2 linked regions of the Arabidopsis thaliana genome follow. The protein of the gene in region 1 purifies or fractionates together with the protein of each later gene. This does not show direct contact. Each region holds a gene or a part of one and is shown on either strand. Other genes may lie near its edges. The genes, in order: TWN2 and AT3G02760.

Region 1 (8,265 bases):
CAATAACATCATCAGACATAGTTTCTTAACCTGAAATATTTCATTTGTTGGCCTTCGCAGATAGAAACTGTGACTCTCTGTGTCTCAGTTCTTCAGTTCCATTTATTGATTTCCTGAATTGCTTGTTTCTGCAGCAAGACGAGCACTTTCCTTCTCAAAGAAATCGAATTCTTGGAGTATCTTAGCAAGCTTGTTTGCGTTGTCTTCTTTTATATTCGCAGGGACCTTCTCTTCGTAAGTAGACACACTCATCATCTTCTGCAACTTCTCTTTTTGTCTGATGAAACAAGAAATAAAAATGTCAAAGGAGGAAATCTCAGGAAACTAACATGAGATTCAAGCATCTTGTTTTGATTCAGTGACGGGTCTAAGGACTTACTTTTGTAGTTCACCAATCTTGTTTCTGATTTTTTCTTGTTCAGCTTCTGTGTTAATGGCTCCGTCCACTTCAAGATATACTTTGAGGTTCTCGTTCACCGTCTCAACTGAAGATCCAGGTGGTGCTGCATGTTGTCCTTTTGACACAACCTATACCAAAGCCCCATAGAAACTCAGAAATGATACACGAAACAATAGATAAACCGTAAGACATAAATTGAAGATAGAATTTACCTCTAAGGATGATAGATTTGCAAGGGTTCTGATCTCCAACTCGTGAGACTTAACAATTTCAGATGTTACGTTGTTTTCACACAGAGCAAAAGCAGGTAACCTGAGAAAAATGAATAAAACTATTAAGTAACCTTTTTAGTGAGATTCATTTTAAAAAAATGCAGGATGGTTAATGAAATGTCTCAAAGTGTTCCTCGAATGGGGCTTTAATCATATACTCAGACCTTTCGTTTTTCTGTTTCTCCAGCAACCCTGCCCTGAGTGCTCTCATGCATTTCACAGTTGCCAGAACGGTGTCCATTTCGCTCTCCACTTTCTCATTTGACCAGTTCTGGGTTCACAGCATCAGAATAAAAGAGTTATAAACGTGAACAATTATGACAAGTTACAAGGAAAATCCGAAAATCTTACTCACCTCTATGGCAGATGGGTAGTCACATATCATGATAGAAGCCTTTCTTTCTGTGTCTTTGGGTGCGGGAAGTCGTTGCCATAGCTCTTCAGTAACAAAAGGCATAAATGGGTGAAGCAGTCTCAAACCAGTCTCCAGACTTATCCAGAGAGCATGTTGTGCATGAGCCCTCTCTGAAGCAAACGTTGGGTTGTCACCAGCAAAATAAGGCTTAATTGCTTCAATGTACACATCACAGAATTGGTATTGCCACCATGCATATATTGTGTTGGCTGCATCCGAGAACTCAAATGCATCTAGTGACACCACTGTCTTTGATATTGCCTTATTTAGAACAGAGAGAATCCATTGGCAGCTGAAAGGCATGGTTTCAGGACTTAGAGTCTGCGGAGGAGTATAACCATCGCCAAGCTTCATCATTGCAAATCTGACGGCGTTCCACAGTTTATTACACCATTGACGGTAACCAACAACTCGAAGAATGTCCAAGTTAATTTTATCAGACTAGAAAAGAATCAAGAAACGCAATTTTTAGTTTATAGAACATACACAGAAGGAGCTTGTTAGGGACGGTGCAATGGATAGTACCTGAGCAGTGTAAGAGACGAGCGCAAACCGAAGAGCGTCAGTGCCACATTCAGGGATACCATTTGGAAAGTCCTTCACTTGTCCTTCTTTGGCAACAATCACCTCTTTTGGATCCAAGTTACCCTCTTCTAATCTCTTATGAAGACCTTCAAGAGTTACTCCGTTTATTACTTCAAGTGGATCAATGACATTTCCAAGAGATTTTGACATTTTACGCCCATGTGCATCACGTATCATAGGATGGAAATAAACCTATAGCAAAGACATAAAATATGTTTTTTGCATATAAGTACCGGTCACAGTGATACTTGCATCTAAAAGGAGGTGTGATCCTTGTTTGACTTAAAATGTACATGTACCTTACTGAATGGAACCTCACCACCTAGTTTCATTCCCATCATAACCATACGAGCAACCCAAAAAAAGAGGATATCATGTCCAGTTTCAAGAACAGAAGTTGGATAGAAGGCTTTGAAGTCATCGGTTACATCTGGCCATCCCAGAACAGATAATGGAAAGAGCCCAGAAGAAAACCATGTATCAAGTACATCAGGATCTCGAGTGAGTTCAAACTTCTTCCCCAAAAATTTCTGAGCAGCCTCTTCTCGAGCATCGTCCTCAGTTCTAGCAACAACCCAATGGTCACTGTATGCACCAACCTCCTTGAGCTGATCCTCCTCTAGAGTGGCATACCATGCTGGTATTCTGTGTCCCCACCAAAGCTGTCTTGAAATACACCAGTCACGTATGTTCTCTAGCCATCTGTAAGGTAAAGATTGTTAATAGATGGTGTAATGACATCTTAAACCGCCATCGCAGCTTATCCATACAGCTGTGCTGTAAGAGCTTCTATAGATGGGGTAGATTAAGAAACCATTATAGAGTAAAAGATAAATGAAAGAAACCTTCTCCATTCTGCTGTGTACTGCTTTGGTACAAACTCGAGTTTCTTGTTTTCATCAGTGATAGCAACATCAAGAGCCTCCTTTCCAATCATGCTGCAGTTAACGTACCATTGAGGCTTTATCATAGGCTCAATAACATCATTAGTTCTTGAGCAAAGTCCAAGCCTCATTTCATTGTTTTTGGCACCTCTGTACAGCCCCTGAATAATATATTGACAAAACAGTTAAAATCTACAAGACACTTACAAGCAACTACCCATAGTGTAACAAAAATTCTCAAACCAACAATCAAAGAAAAATTATATATGTTATGTGAAGAGTTAGAGAAAGTTACCTGCTTCTGCAGAGCTTCAACAACTGCCTCACGAGCTGCAAAGCGTGGCATCCCTGCGAAGTCAGACCCACCATTTGTGTTGATTTTTCCATCATCTGTGAATATATTTATAAATTCCAGCTTGTGGCGCTTTCCAACCTCACAGTCATTGGGATCATGGGCAGGAGTAATCTACAAAATAAGAATTAAGTAACTTTGACACAAGAAACACAACTAATAGGGGCAGAAACCCAGCATCAAATATATAAGGTAGAGGTATACCTTAACACAACCAGTACCAAAATTTGGATCAACAAGTATTCCATCACAGATAATAGGTAACTTCCGCCCATTAAATGGGTGCACAGCAAATTTCCCATGAAGATGCTTGTATCTTGCATCATCAGGATGAATAGCAATAGCAGTATCCCCAAGCATCGTTTCCACCCTGGTAGTGGCAACAATTACCTCTCCCAAGCCTCCCTCCAGAGGGTAAGCAAACGAGGTAAGAAGACCAAATTCTACTGGCTTCTCATAGCCAGGAACTTTTAGTAGCGTTTTTTCTTTAATGTCGATATACTCAACCTACAGATATTAGACACTCCACATAAACAGGATGCCCTCCAACAATCTTAGTCTAACAGTTGCTGCTGACTTACCTCAACATCAGATATGGCTGTTCTCAAAATACAATCCCAATTAACAAGCCGAATATCCCTGCAGAAGCCATGGTATACCTTCAGTCAAATGTTCTTTCTTACAACAAGATAACTGAAAAAGGTAAAATGGTCCTATAATCCTAATTTCGGTATATTACTGTTTCCATCTACAGGAATTCTATAGCTTGCATCAAAGAACAAAGTCAGACTTAAACATACCTATATATAAGCCCTTCTTTGTATAACCGTACAAAGGCCTCAGTGACAGCTTTTGATCTTTGCTCGTCCATTGTAAAACACTATAAATTTACAGGCCGAAACACATCCGTAAGATGGATAGCCCAGGGACACAAGTGAAGATAAAAAATATCATTTACATATATGTTCACCTAGTGGCGAAATAAATAAAACAGCCAATTTTCTATAACATTTATCCAAGAAAGGTCAAATTACTGGATATTACCTCACGAGACCAGTCGAGAGAAGCTCCTAGTCGCCGTAGCTGTGTTAGAATTGTACCGCCGTACTGGTTCTTCCACTTCCACACCTTTTCCATGATCACAAGCAAAACAAGAATTTTTGTATAATGAAAAAAGGAAACTATTCATCAACATATTTTAAATTTTCAACTCACTTCCTTTACGAATTCTTCACGGCCAACATCATGCCTAGTCATGCCTCTATCACGCATGATCTTTTTCTCGACCACCACCTAGAATGTACATCCAAGTAAAAAAAAAATATACAATGTGTATAAGATAAAGCTACAAGCCTGTAGCCCAACGAGGATTCACTCTATAGGCTGAAACTTCAACTAATATGGGAGATGAGATTGGGGCTCACCTGTGTAGCTATACCAGCATGGTCAACCCCGGGTACCCACAAAGCATTATACCCAGACATTCTCTTCCAACGAATAATTGTATCCTGCATCAACAAGTATTAAGCCGTTGATCATCGGGAGGAACAATAGACAGCTATAGCACCAAACAATATGCTAATGAAACCTCAATTGCAGATGTAAGCGCATGGCCAATATGCAAGGCTCCAGTCACATTTGGAGGAGGAAGAACCTGCAGAATCAATCAAAGGATTAAAGAAACTTTAAAAATAGTATTAATAATTTCAGAAGCTCAAGATTTTCTCAACTCAATTTGGTTTTCACAAATTAAGTATTCGAGAAGACAATAAAAAGAAGGTCGAATCCAGAACGAGCATGAATTTAAGAATCGGATTAGGCCTTACAATTACAAAAGGTGGCTTGGAACTCTTAGCATCCGCCTTAAAAAGGTCAGATTTCTCCCACCAAGCATACCATCTGACCCAATTACAGAATAACAGAGATTATCTAGAGGAACTTCTTGGGATAAATGTCAAAGAAAAAGATCTACACACTTACGATTTCTCCACGGTAGCAGGGCTGTATTGTTTGGCCATCTGTGAAGAAAGCCTTTTCCTCTCTCCAAGAGGAGTTTCAGGGTCCACAAAATCCTCAGGATTCTCTTCTGACGCATCCCGTTTGGAACTCTTCTTTGCGCTCTTTTTAGGGACATTAGTTCCATCTTTGGCCTGTTTTGCCTACACGAGAAGCACACCATGATAAATATTTCAAGTTACAGGGAAAATTAAGGATTTGGCTGGCACATTACACATACATATGAAGCAGGAACCCGAAATGAATAATTGGAGTTCCTCAGAGCTTACCTTCAGTTCAGCCAGCCTCTCTTTCTCCAAAGCTTTTTGCTTCTTCAACTCCTTTTCTTTAGCCTATGAATAAATTACAATTGAATTCGAACAAAATATAATGAAATTAATGAGATTGAAAAAATCAAAATTGAGTCAATATTTTACTTAAAACTAACTCCCACCACACAAAGAAAAATGAAATGTAAGGCGTATTCAAAAGTATACAACTCTAAAACAACACCAAAAGAAACACAAACTATGATTATACGAATTTGTGCCAAGTACTCAAACTATTAAATGTAGAACACTTCTTCATTCTGATATAGTGAAGACGGTTTCTCAAACTTTTCTATCTTAAAAATAACAATACGATCTCATCAGTTCCATTTTCCAAATGGGTAATCCATAGTTATCACTATCCAATCTCTATTAGCTAGTCCCATGATTGAACAATAAACTCAATCACACTCGTCTATGAGATTCTAGATATCAAAATTGTTAAAATCAAGCTCAAAGAGAACAGCACAACCACGTTGAATCGACTCCAGAAAACGTTTCTGAGAAAAATGGGGAAAAAAATCACAAGTCAAACCTTCTCTTCCTTCTTCTTTTTCCGCTCAAGCTCCTCCTCTGTCAGGATCTTCTTCTCTGATTCCGACTACGAAATTCAGAAAACAAACATTCAATTCTCAGACTTAAACAAATAGCAGCAGAATTTCGAAATCCGGTGGGTAATCCTAACGGAGAAACAAACAATCGGTGATTACAAAATCGTACCATTGTTCTGGAACCGTGAAACGAACGAACTAGCTGATTCGTAAGCGTCGGAGATAAGAAGCTGGAGCGAGAATGAGTAGCTGAACAACAAGATACAAATAACGGCTTGGCTCTTCTTAGGAAGAGTAGTGACATAGACAAAAAACCTGCTAGGGCTAATTGAAATGCTCCTTTTTTTTAACACTATACAAAAAACATTTTTAATTTTAAAAATTAGAAATTAAACCGGAAAAAATTAGAGATTTGGGTTACAAGTTGGGTATTTCGTTTTAAGCCCAGTGGGCTTGGAATTACGACGGTCAATACTCAATATATATTTCAAGCTGTTCTCGAATCAACGAGTGTGTGATTTCTTATCAAGATACGTAATATAATATCTATCGGAGAGATGTATAAAAAAAGGTTGAGAAAGAAGCCACAACTACATTCAACTACGTACTTCAGATCAACTGTCAACAAAAATTTCCTTCACGTCACAACCAGAGACATGGTTTTGTTTGGTTATTACATTGACCTTCTCACACTGTCTAATACCAGAGAGATGACATTGATGGAGAAGAAGGGATGAAAATAGGAGTTTTTGTGGTGTGAGTGGCTCAGCTAATGATCATCTTGTTGAAGAATTCAGCTTGCTCAGGGAAGAATTCCAAGAGCTCGTCTTTGGTTACCCACACAAAATCCTCGCAGTTGCTTATGTCGTATTTCGATGCTGCTACTACACTGCATTTGAAGAAGAACCTCTACACAACAACAAAATTCAGTTTAGAAATCTTGAGCTTCTGAAATTACTAATACTAGTAAAACCCCGTTAACGTTCGTTCTTGCCTTGTAAGATGGCAAATCAGGCATTTCTTCTGTAGGTTGTATGGCCATGTGAGCCATTGGAGCATTTCCAACAAAGTATGTGTGAGTGAGGTCTCCTACGACTGACTTCAAAGCAGATTCCGCGCACTGCAAATACCGAATTTACATATTAACAATAAGCACATGAATGAAATTTTATGGTCTTGTGTGTTGAAATAGAGGCATCAAATCAAACAAACACCTTGCGAAGAGTTGGCTCAGAATCATAGACTTTCTCTGGGAAGTGCCAAACAGGTTTGTCACTAGTAGCTCCAAATGGCTTGCCGAATATGAGAAGATACAACTTTTTGTCTAGGGCTCTATATAATGACCTATAATAGCAGCATTTTCCCAAAAGTAACTATCAATCATCAACCGAAGAGAAATACAACAGGCCAGGAAGCTTTAAGAGGTGCCAACAACTTACTTCCTATCGTTATTCTTGTCAGCCTCTGTAATTCTAGGAGCAGGTACATAGTCCATTTGGTATTCACCCTTGGCTCTGTATTCACGTATCATAAGATTAACCAAAGACGAAATGAAATTTTCATAGAAGCTTCACCGCACTTGGAGAAAAATGAAACTGACCTATACAGAACCTTCACTATATATCTATGAGCATGTAACACTTCTAATATAGTTCACTTCAGGCAAGGTAATTCTGCTGAAGAATTGAGCAACAATAACTCACGGAGCTACTCGGAAAAACTCCCAATCTAACATTCTTTGCTATTGTCATAATAACTAACAAGGATGACACAAAGTTGAATGCAGAAGAAACCTTCGAGCAGATTATATGCTTGGACACATGATGATATCAAAAGAAGATTGAGAAAAACAGAAACTTTTACCTGTTCTTAGCAATGTCTAAGAACTCATCGGGATATCTACGACGAAACTGCTGTTGCCAATTGAATCTGCCATAGAGCAACAAAATCAAGACCAAAACGTGATCAAAATCAAAATGAACCAGAGAGTAAAATCAAAATTTCGGTGCTCAATGACTCAAATCTTATTCATTCCGCAACATAAAAAAGCAGTCTTTGAATCACACAACTATACTTTTCCCCCCATTTTCTCTCAAAATCTCACCATTCCTCAACCAAAGAAAAAACAGAACACAAGCAAAGCGATGAGAGAGCTTACTTGAACTCCTGGAAAGCGTAAACGGCAGGATCCGGTTTGGGTATCACAACGCGCAATCTCTCGAAAAGCACCGAAGCTACGATCTTATCAGAGCTCGTGCAAAACCCTCGCCTGCTCTCCAAGAGAGGCTTAGCTAGTAGCCGCAAAGATGATCTCGGCATTTCTCAATCTCACAACCCAGAAACGAAATCGAGTTTGGTTAGAGAGTGAACGCCGGCGCTTGAGCCTGAGAGTGAGAGGGTTTTTCCAAATCCCCTTTCAGGTAAAACAATTTCGACGGAATCGAAAAATTATTGGTTTACATAACCAGAATCCGGTTTGATC
Region 2 (6,364 bases), on another chromosome or scaffold:
TTCTTCTTCGTCTTTCTACTTTTGTGTGTCTCTATAGAGAGAGAGAATGGAGAAGAGAGAGATAGAAACAGTAATGGAGATGGGTCACTCTCTCTAATAATAAAAAAACTATATTAATAATACATCCAAAAATTATGTTATCAGATTTTTTTCTTTCTGATGAATCATTATTTTATTATTTTTTACGTATTAATGTATGAAAATATTTATATTTTTTTTGTTTCAGGCTGGCAGAATTAACATGGGCTTGGATAAGACGTTTCTTACACATAATTTTCCGACATCCACTAGAATATCATCAATATATAATATGAAGAATTATTAAAATTGTGAAAATTCAATAAAACAGATCATTTATTTTTAGATCAAAATCATATTTAGGGTCTCACAATCAGTCAATCATCCCATGAGGGTGAGACTCTTTATCAGATTTAATTATTGTATCGCTTAGTAAACTATTGTATATAAAAGAATAACCACCGTGAATTCTTCTTATTTAAGGAACCAAAGAACTCATTGTTTTTTTATATAAATGATCAGTAGGGGATGGTAAATCGCCTGTTTGTTTCTTACCAAATATTTTCAGTAGTTGAATCGAAAATGAGTAGAGACAATAGTCAATGGAAACGTGAGATGTGAATACACAAGTGACCTTAGTTACTTGAAGCCACCACATGTCGGCAGAGAGGTACAGAAACCAACACGTACCATCTTTCTTCCTCTCATCTCATGCAAATGCGATCACACAGATCTGCAGATCACTTTTTTTATTTTTGGAGACAACCTTACCTGTTGTGTTTTATTTTCTCTTTTCGGTCTTATATTCTTCCACCTCATTTCCTACTTATTTTTTCTTTCTTTTTTCTGATAAGATCGCAGATTAGGTTATCAGGGATAAGGATTTTTTTGAAAGAAACGTAATTCTGATAATTGGCTTAACATTTACGTATATCTCCTCTAATTAGTTAAATACGGAAAACTTCATCAACATCAAAATCTCTAAGTTCTTGTCTCCACAATCATGAGTCATGCAAAACACCATTATCAAACAAACCAAGGAAAACAGCAAAAAAGAATGCAAAACACTGTGATTCCTTTTGTCTGGGCATCGAACCAGGAGTGAGTGTGTGTACCTTTCATTTCTTTTCAACGACTCAGAGTAGTTTCTTCAATTCTTCCACGAAACGATCTCTAGTACATGTTTGATCTTCTTTCTCTTCACTTCCCTTCTCGAGCTTCTTCAATGTCACAAAACTTCCACTGAGTTCTTTTTCGCCTACCATCACCATCCAAGGAATCCCTGATTCCTTTGCACGATTGAAATGCTTTTCTTTCCTCTTGCTCACTAGATACTCTGCGTTGATCTTAGCACCCCATAACTGACTTACCAGTTCTGCTGCTTCCGCTAGTTTATTATCCACCATTATACTAACCAACACCTGTGTCTCCGTTGGTCGAATCACCTATATTCATAGCAAATAACACAAACTTCAAAAACCATTCTTTTAAAACAAGGTCGACAAACAGCATAAGGGTTTGGCAAGTTACTTGTTTCTGTTTCTCGTTAAGTTCTTCCATTATGTTAAACACTCTCTCGATTCCCAGGCTCATCCCAACCGCAGGGACTTGCTTTGTTCCAAACATTCCTATAAGGTTATCATATCGCCCACCAGCACCAATTGATCCCACCTGCAGAAAGAAGAATTCAAAGGCCATACACTACAATTTCTTTAATTGAATTGCAGGAAGCCAAAATGCGGGATTTTACCTCTGCTCCTATACAAACAGCTTCAAAGATGACGCCGGTGTAGTAATCAAGACCTCTAGCTAGACTTAGATCAAAGACTATTCTCTCACTGCACTTTGATCTTTTAAGAGCTTCAAACATGATACTCAACTCATCAAGAGCTTCTCTTGATGACTGGTTATCTAAGAACTCACTCCCTTCTTGTCTCAGTTTAGACAACAGCTCCAAAGGAGCTCCCTTCTCCTTAACGAAGTTGCCAATTCTGTCTGCAATCTCTGAAGACAAGCCCTTCTCCTCCACCATTTCTTTCTTCACTTGCTCAAACGATTGCTTGTCTAGCTTGTCGATACTCGAACAGATGGTTCTGAATTTCTCAGGTGGTACTCCACATATCTCCAGCATTCCATCAAGCAACTTGCGGTGATTCAGTTTCACCTATTTAAACAAACCAGAATTAAGAACATAGCCAAAGAAAAAACCAACCAGGAAAGATTAAGACTTTCAACTTAAGTTATTACCTCATAATCTCCTATTTCTAACTCATCGAGGAGTTCAGTTAATATCTTGACAATTTCAAAATCGGGTCCCATTGGTTCGAACAAACCAGCGATATCAAAATCACACTGATAAAACTCTCTGTATCTCCCTTTAGATGGATTATCCCTTCTGTACACCTTTGCTATTTGGTATCTTTTGAATGATGTGATTCCATTCATAGCCACATACCGTGCAAATGGAACAGTTAGATCATATCGTAAAGAGCAAAGCTCTCCACCCTGCAATTAATAGATCCATATGAGCTCAAATTTTGACAAACAAATCATCACATAAACTGATGATATTACAGCAGCCAAGAAGAGTTCTACCTGATCAGCAATATCATAAACCAATTTCGAGTCTTCTCCGTACTTTCCCATAAGGGTCTCTCTCAATTCAAAAACAGGAGTATCAAGTGCAGTTGCACCATGCCTCTTGAAAACGTTTTGTATGATTGAAAAGGCTTTTTCTCGGACTGCCATTTGTTCTTTAGCGAAATCTCGAGTTCCCTGTCATAGAATGAAACAAATCAGAAATTAACTCTGAGGCCTAAACCTTCTCCATATACGAGATTGTAATTTACCTTTGGAAGCTTGGGAAGTCTCCTATTTTCATTACTTTCTACAATCTCTTTCACTTTATCCAACAAGCTATCAAAACTGCGACCCTCTGGGTTGAAAAGATTTAAGATTTGCTCCCCACATTGCATCAATGAATGCATCTGGTCACCATCACTTGCTGCGTCATTACTCACCAATCTATCTTTGATAAACTGGATAACTAGGCTTGTCCCCTTTCCCACAACTGCTTTTTTCTCATTCTTCTTCTTTTTCTTATCGGTCTTCGACTCTTCTTTGTCCGCATCTCCGCTCTTCTGAACAAACAATTCTCCACCAGCAAGAGCAAAAAAGGCAGCAACTGCCTCCAAACCAACAATTCTCCATACAATTCCCAGACACTCATTCAGTTTGTGAGCAAACCTGCAGTAATCCTCTTCCAAATGAGCAGTATAAGCTAACTTATAGCTATTCTTTAGATTCTCATTCTCAACACAGATCTTTTCAGATAAACATTTCTTCAGATTCTCATCCACAATCTTCTCAAAACAAAGCTTAGCACGAAGGAACGAACACACTCCCAAGTTTTTAATCGCCGTTAACAAAGGTAACAATGTTGTTCCTAAAGCCTCACCAATCCCAGTGTTTCCAGACCCAGTTTTGCCTCCTTTAACACCGGAATTCAATTCTCTCCTAGCATCCGCGTGCACGCTTTTCACCACATACCTGAATTTCCCATGAATCCAAGGGATTTTCGAAATCTCTTCTATTTCTAATTTCCCTGTACCTTTATACCCGTTAAGCAAAACCTTGAGATCACCAGCAACACCAATCACATCTTTATCACCATTCCCATCTCCTGAATCCAACAAGCTAAACGAAGCTATATCAGCCTTTGTAACCTCACAACTCAACGCAGCAACAGAATCCACAATCTGTGAAAGAGTCGTCGATTTGTGATCTATAATAGAACAAATCCCAATCAACGAAGCACACGACTTCTCCAACACAATGTTTTCCCCTTCTGTCACATCAATCTCACCCAATTCCAAACTCTCAGCCTTCAAATTCAGAATCTCAACAATCTTAAGCGGAAGAACAGAACGAGCGGTGGATGAAGAAGGAGGACCAGAAGTCGACAAAATAAGCTTGTTTAAGAGAACAGCCAGAGAAGCTCGAGTTTCTTCGTTCGTTAACCCTTGAGGGATACCAAAGGAGCTCCTTTTGATCGATGGAACGTTTCTAGTGGAGAATCTCTCGATCGCAGAAGAGTCAATTCGAACATTAGCGACGCCGGAAGCAACATTGTAAACGGAGGAAGAAGATAAAGAAGAACCTTTCCCTCCGAGAGTGATGGACGATCTCTCCGCCGCCATTATCACACACAGAGCTGAAGCCGGAGTGATTAGGGTTTTCTGTCTTTCGTTGTGTTTGACCTAAAACGAAGCACTGTGAAATTGCAAGAAGGCGGATTTAGAAAATTGGTAAACTGCAAAATGACCCTCGAAGTATCCAGTTATTGGAAATTGATCTACGAAAAATGCTTGTATGGATACTTCAAGGATCTTTTTGCAATTTTCACTTTACGAAATGTTTTTTTTTATCAACTCGAAACGGATTCAATAGTTCAATAATCATATTCAAAGAAGCCAACTTTTACTCTGATAGCCATTACAGAAACACAAAGCACAAAAGTAGTAGCTTACAGATTTTAACAAATCAACAACATCACTTGTGTCCTTTTAAACGGATAATTCAATCTGAGAAACAAGGATACCATCAGTATCTGCATAAAGCCATTCGCCATCGCATATCCGAGTGCCTGCAATGTTCAAAGAGACTCTTTGTTCACCAAGTCCTTTCTTACTAGCCTTTATTGGATGAGAAGCTAAAGCTCTCACTCCAATGTCGCAACCATTGATCTCATCAACGTCTCTGATGCATCCATTCACTATGATCCCTGCCCATCCGTTGTTCTGCGCTTGTACGACCGGGTTTCCTCCTAGTATCGCACAGCGTAAACTCCCTCCACCATCCACCACAAGAACTCTACCATTGCCTGTTTTAACATTTAAAACATTATTGAGCTTTTGATGTGAATGCTACAGAGAACAGATTGGTTTATTGACTCGGGTTTTTGAAAGACCTATCTCGTCTCTAGTATTCAAGAACTTGATTAGCAAAGTGACTGAAGAAGTATATAAACACTGAGCAGTAGTTCTAAATCATAGAGAGATGATCTTAAGACTTCTTCAAACATAGTTTCAAGCAAAGAACAATTGAAACTATTTGACAAGTAAGTAACACAAGAATTGAATCTAAAATGTAACAATACCAATAAACCATGTCAAAGATACTCTGAAAGTTCATAGCTCTACGAGTAAAGTTTCAGTCTTTTGAATTTTATAAGCAAGAATCATTAATACCTTTCTCTTCGAGGAAGTGACGGATTAAGCCATTGTCTTCAAAGACTTTAACAGTAACTACTGGACCTGAAAATATTTGACGACGACCATAAATCTGAAAAACGGGTTGCAGAGCTCGGAGCTGGCCACTTCGAATCATCTCTTGATTCGCGTCACACACTTCCGCAGTGGTCACAAACGCCATTTTTTCTTCTCACCTGAATCAAGAATTATGATCAAAACAAGTAATCTGGGGATTTGATTATATGAGATTTACGAGAAATTACTCAAACACAGAAAGCAAAAGACAAATCGAGATTAGTCTAGATAAAGTGATCATATATATTCTCAGTCAATCAATCAAAACCCAGAAGGAAAGATACACACTTTTCATTCAATTCACAAGAAAACTATTTCAAAATCCATCTGGGTTTTGATCGAATCTTATTTCATTTACCTGGAATAGAAGAAACTAGGACGAAGAAGAGAACTCTGTGTGCGTAAATCTCTGAGAAATGAAGTGATGATAATTTAAAGGAGAACAAAGTCATCAACATACTTGTTTCGGTCGTTCAATAATATTAAATTAGTGACTTTTAACTTTACTTAAATCAGATGGAAGGTGGGTTGTCGTTAAGCTTCGAAAAAAGGAATCTTTGCGTTGCCTTTTCTCTGGTTTCGACTCTGTTTCCTTGTTATCCTTTTCCTCGACGCTTTTTGTACATCTCACAAACTTTGTGACATTCATTCATTAATTAAGATAAAAACGAAAACTTTATTATTGCCTGAGGTGCTTGGAAGTTTTGTAAGTGTCTCACATATCCCAAATTATTATCATCGAAAAGATAAAAATGATGAAGAGAAAGTTGATTGATTTAAAAACTTTAAAAAAAGATGTTCAGAGTTTGTGGATGGTTTTCATGTCTATAGCTTCAACCAAAGTTCCTTTCTCAACATGATCCCACCACTTCATCAAGAAATTGTCCACCACCAATCTGAACCATGGTGACAGTTTCAAACCTTCCTCACCTGCATCTGCTTTCTTCACCAGCTCCTTCAGCTCTTCCCGGCTCACATACTTGATCTCAGCTACTTCATCTGGGTTTGGTTGAACCTTC

The links.
Region 2: the proteins of TWN2 (region 1) and AT3G02760 fractionate together in Arabidopsis thaliana (co-fractionation; one large-scale study listed by BioGRID). This does not show direct contact.

What each region holds. Positions count from the first base shown.
Region 1 is NC_003070.9:5,008,400-5,016,664, forward strand, and holds the start of TWN2 (valyl-tRNA synthetase / valine-tRNA ligase (VALRS)), read right to left. Parts: upstream 6,135-8,265; 5' UTR 6,088-6,134; coding exon 5,953-6,087; intron 5,834-5,952; coding exon 5,768-5,833; intron 5,257-5,767; coding exon 5,194-5,256; intron 5,068-5,193; coding exon 4,889-5,067; intron 4,808-4,888; coding exon 4,735-4,807; intron 4,563-4,734; coding exon 4,497-4,562; intron 4,417-4,496; coding exon 4,333-4,416; intron 4,202-4,332; coding exon 4,124-4,201; intron 4,037-4,123; coding exon 3,953-4,036; intron 3,789-3,952; coding exon 3,709-3,788; intron 3,548-3,708; coding exon 3,490-3,547; intron 3,416-3,489; coding exon 3,113-3,415; intron 3,023-3,112; coding exon 2,852-3,022; intron 2,718-2,851; coding exon 2,518-2,717; intron 2,375-2,517; coding exon 1,972-2,374; intron 1,865-1,971; coding exon 1,613-1,864; intron 1,529-1,612; coding exon 1,028-1,528; intron 944-1,027; coding exon 837-943; intron 713-836; coding exon 613-712; intron 529-612; and 4 more. Other genes in the region: decoy, read right to left, coding at 6,549-6,692, 6,778-6,903, 6,998-7,127, 7,223-7,297, 7,647-7,712, 7,942-8,102. UniProt on the Arabidopsis thaliana protein: Required for embryo development and seed viability.
Region 2 is NC_003074.8:596,434-602,797, forward strand, and holds AT3G02760 (Class II aaRS and biotin synthetases superfamily protein), read right to left. Parts: upstream 4,351-6,364; 5' UTR 4,218-4,350; coding exon 2,868-4,217; intron 2,794-2,867; coding exon 2,614-2,793; intron 2,524-2,613; coding exon 2,266-2,523; intron 2,183-2,265; coding exon 1,769-2,182; intron 1,690-1,768; coding exon 1,549-1,689; intron 1,464-1,548; coding exon 1,155-1,463; 3' UTR 672-1,154; downstream 1-671. Other genes in the region: AT3G02770 (Ribonuclease E inhibitor RraA/Dimethylmenaquinone methyltransferase), read right to left, coding at 4,584-4,900, 5,268-5,451; IPP2 (isopentenyl pyrophosphate:dimethylallyl pyrophosphate isomerase 2), read right to left, coding at 6,145-6,364.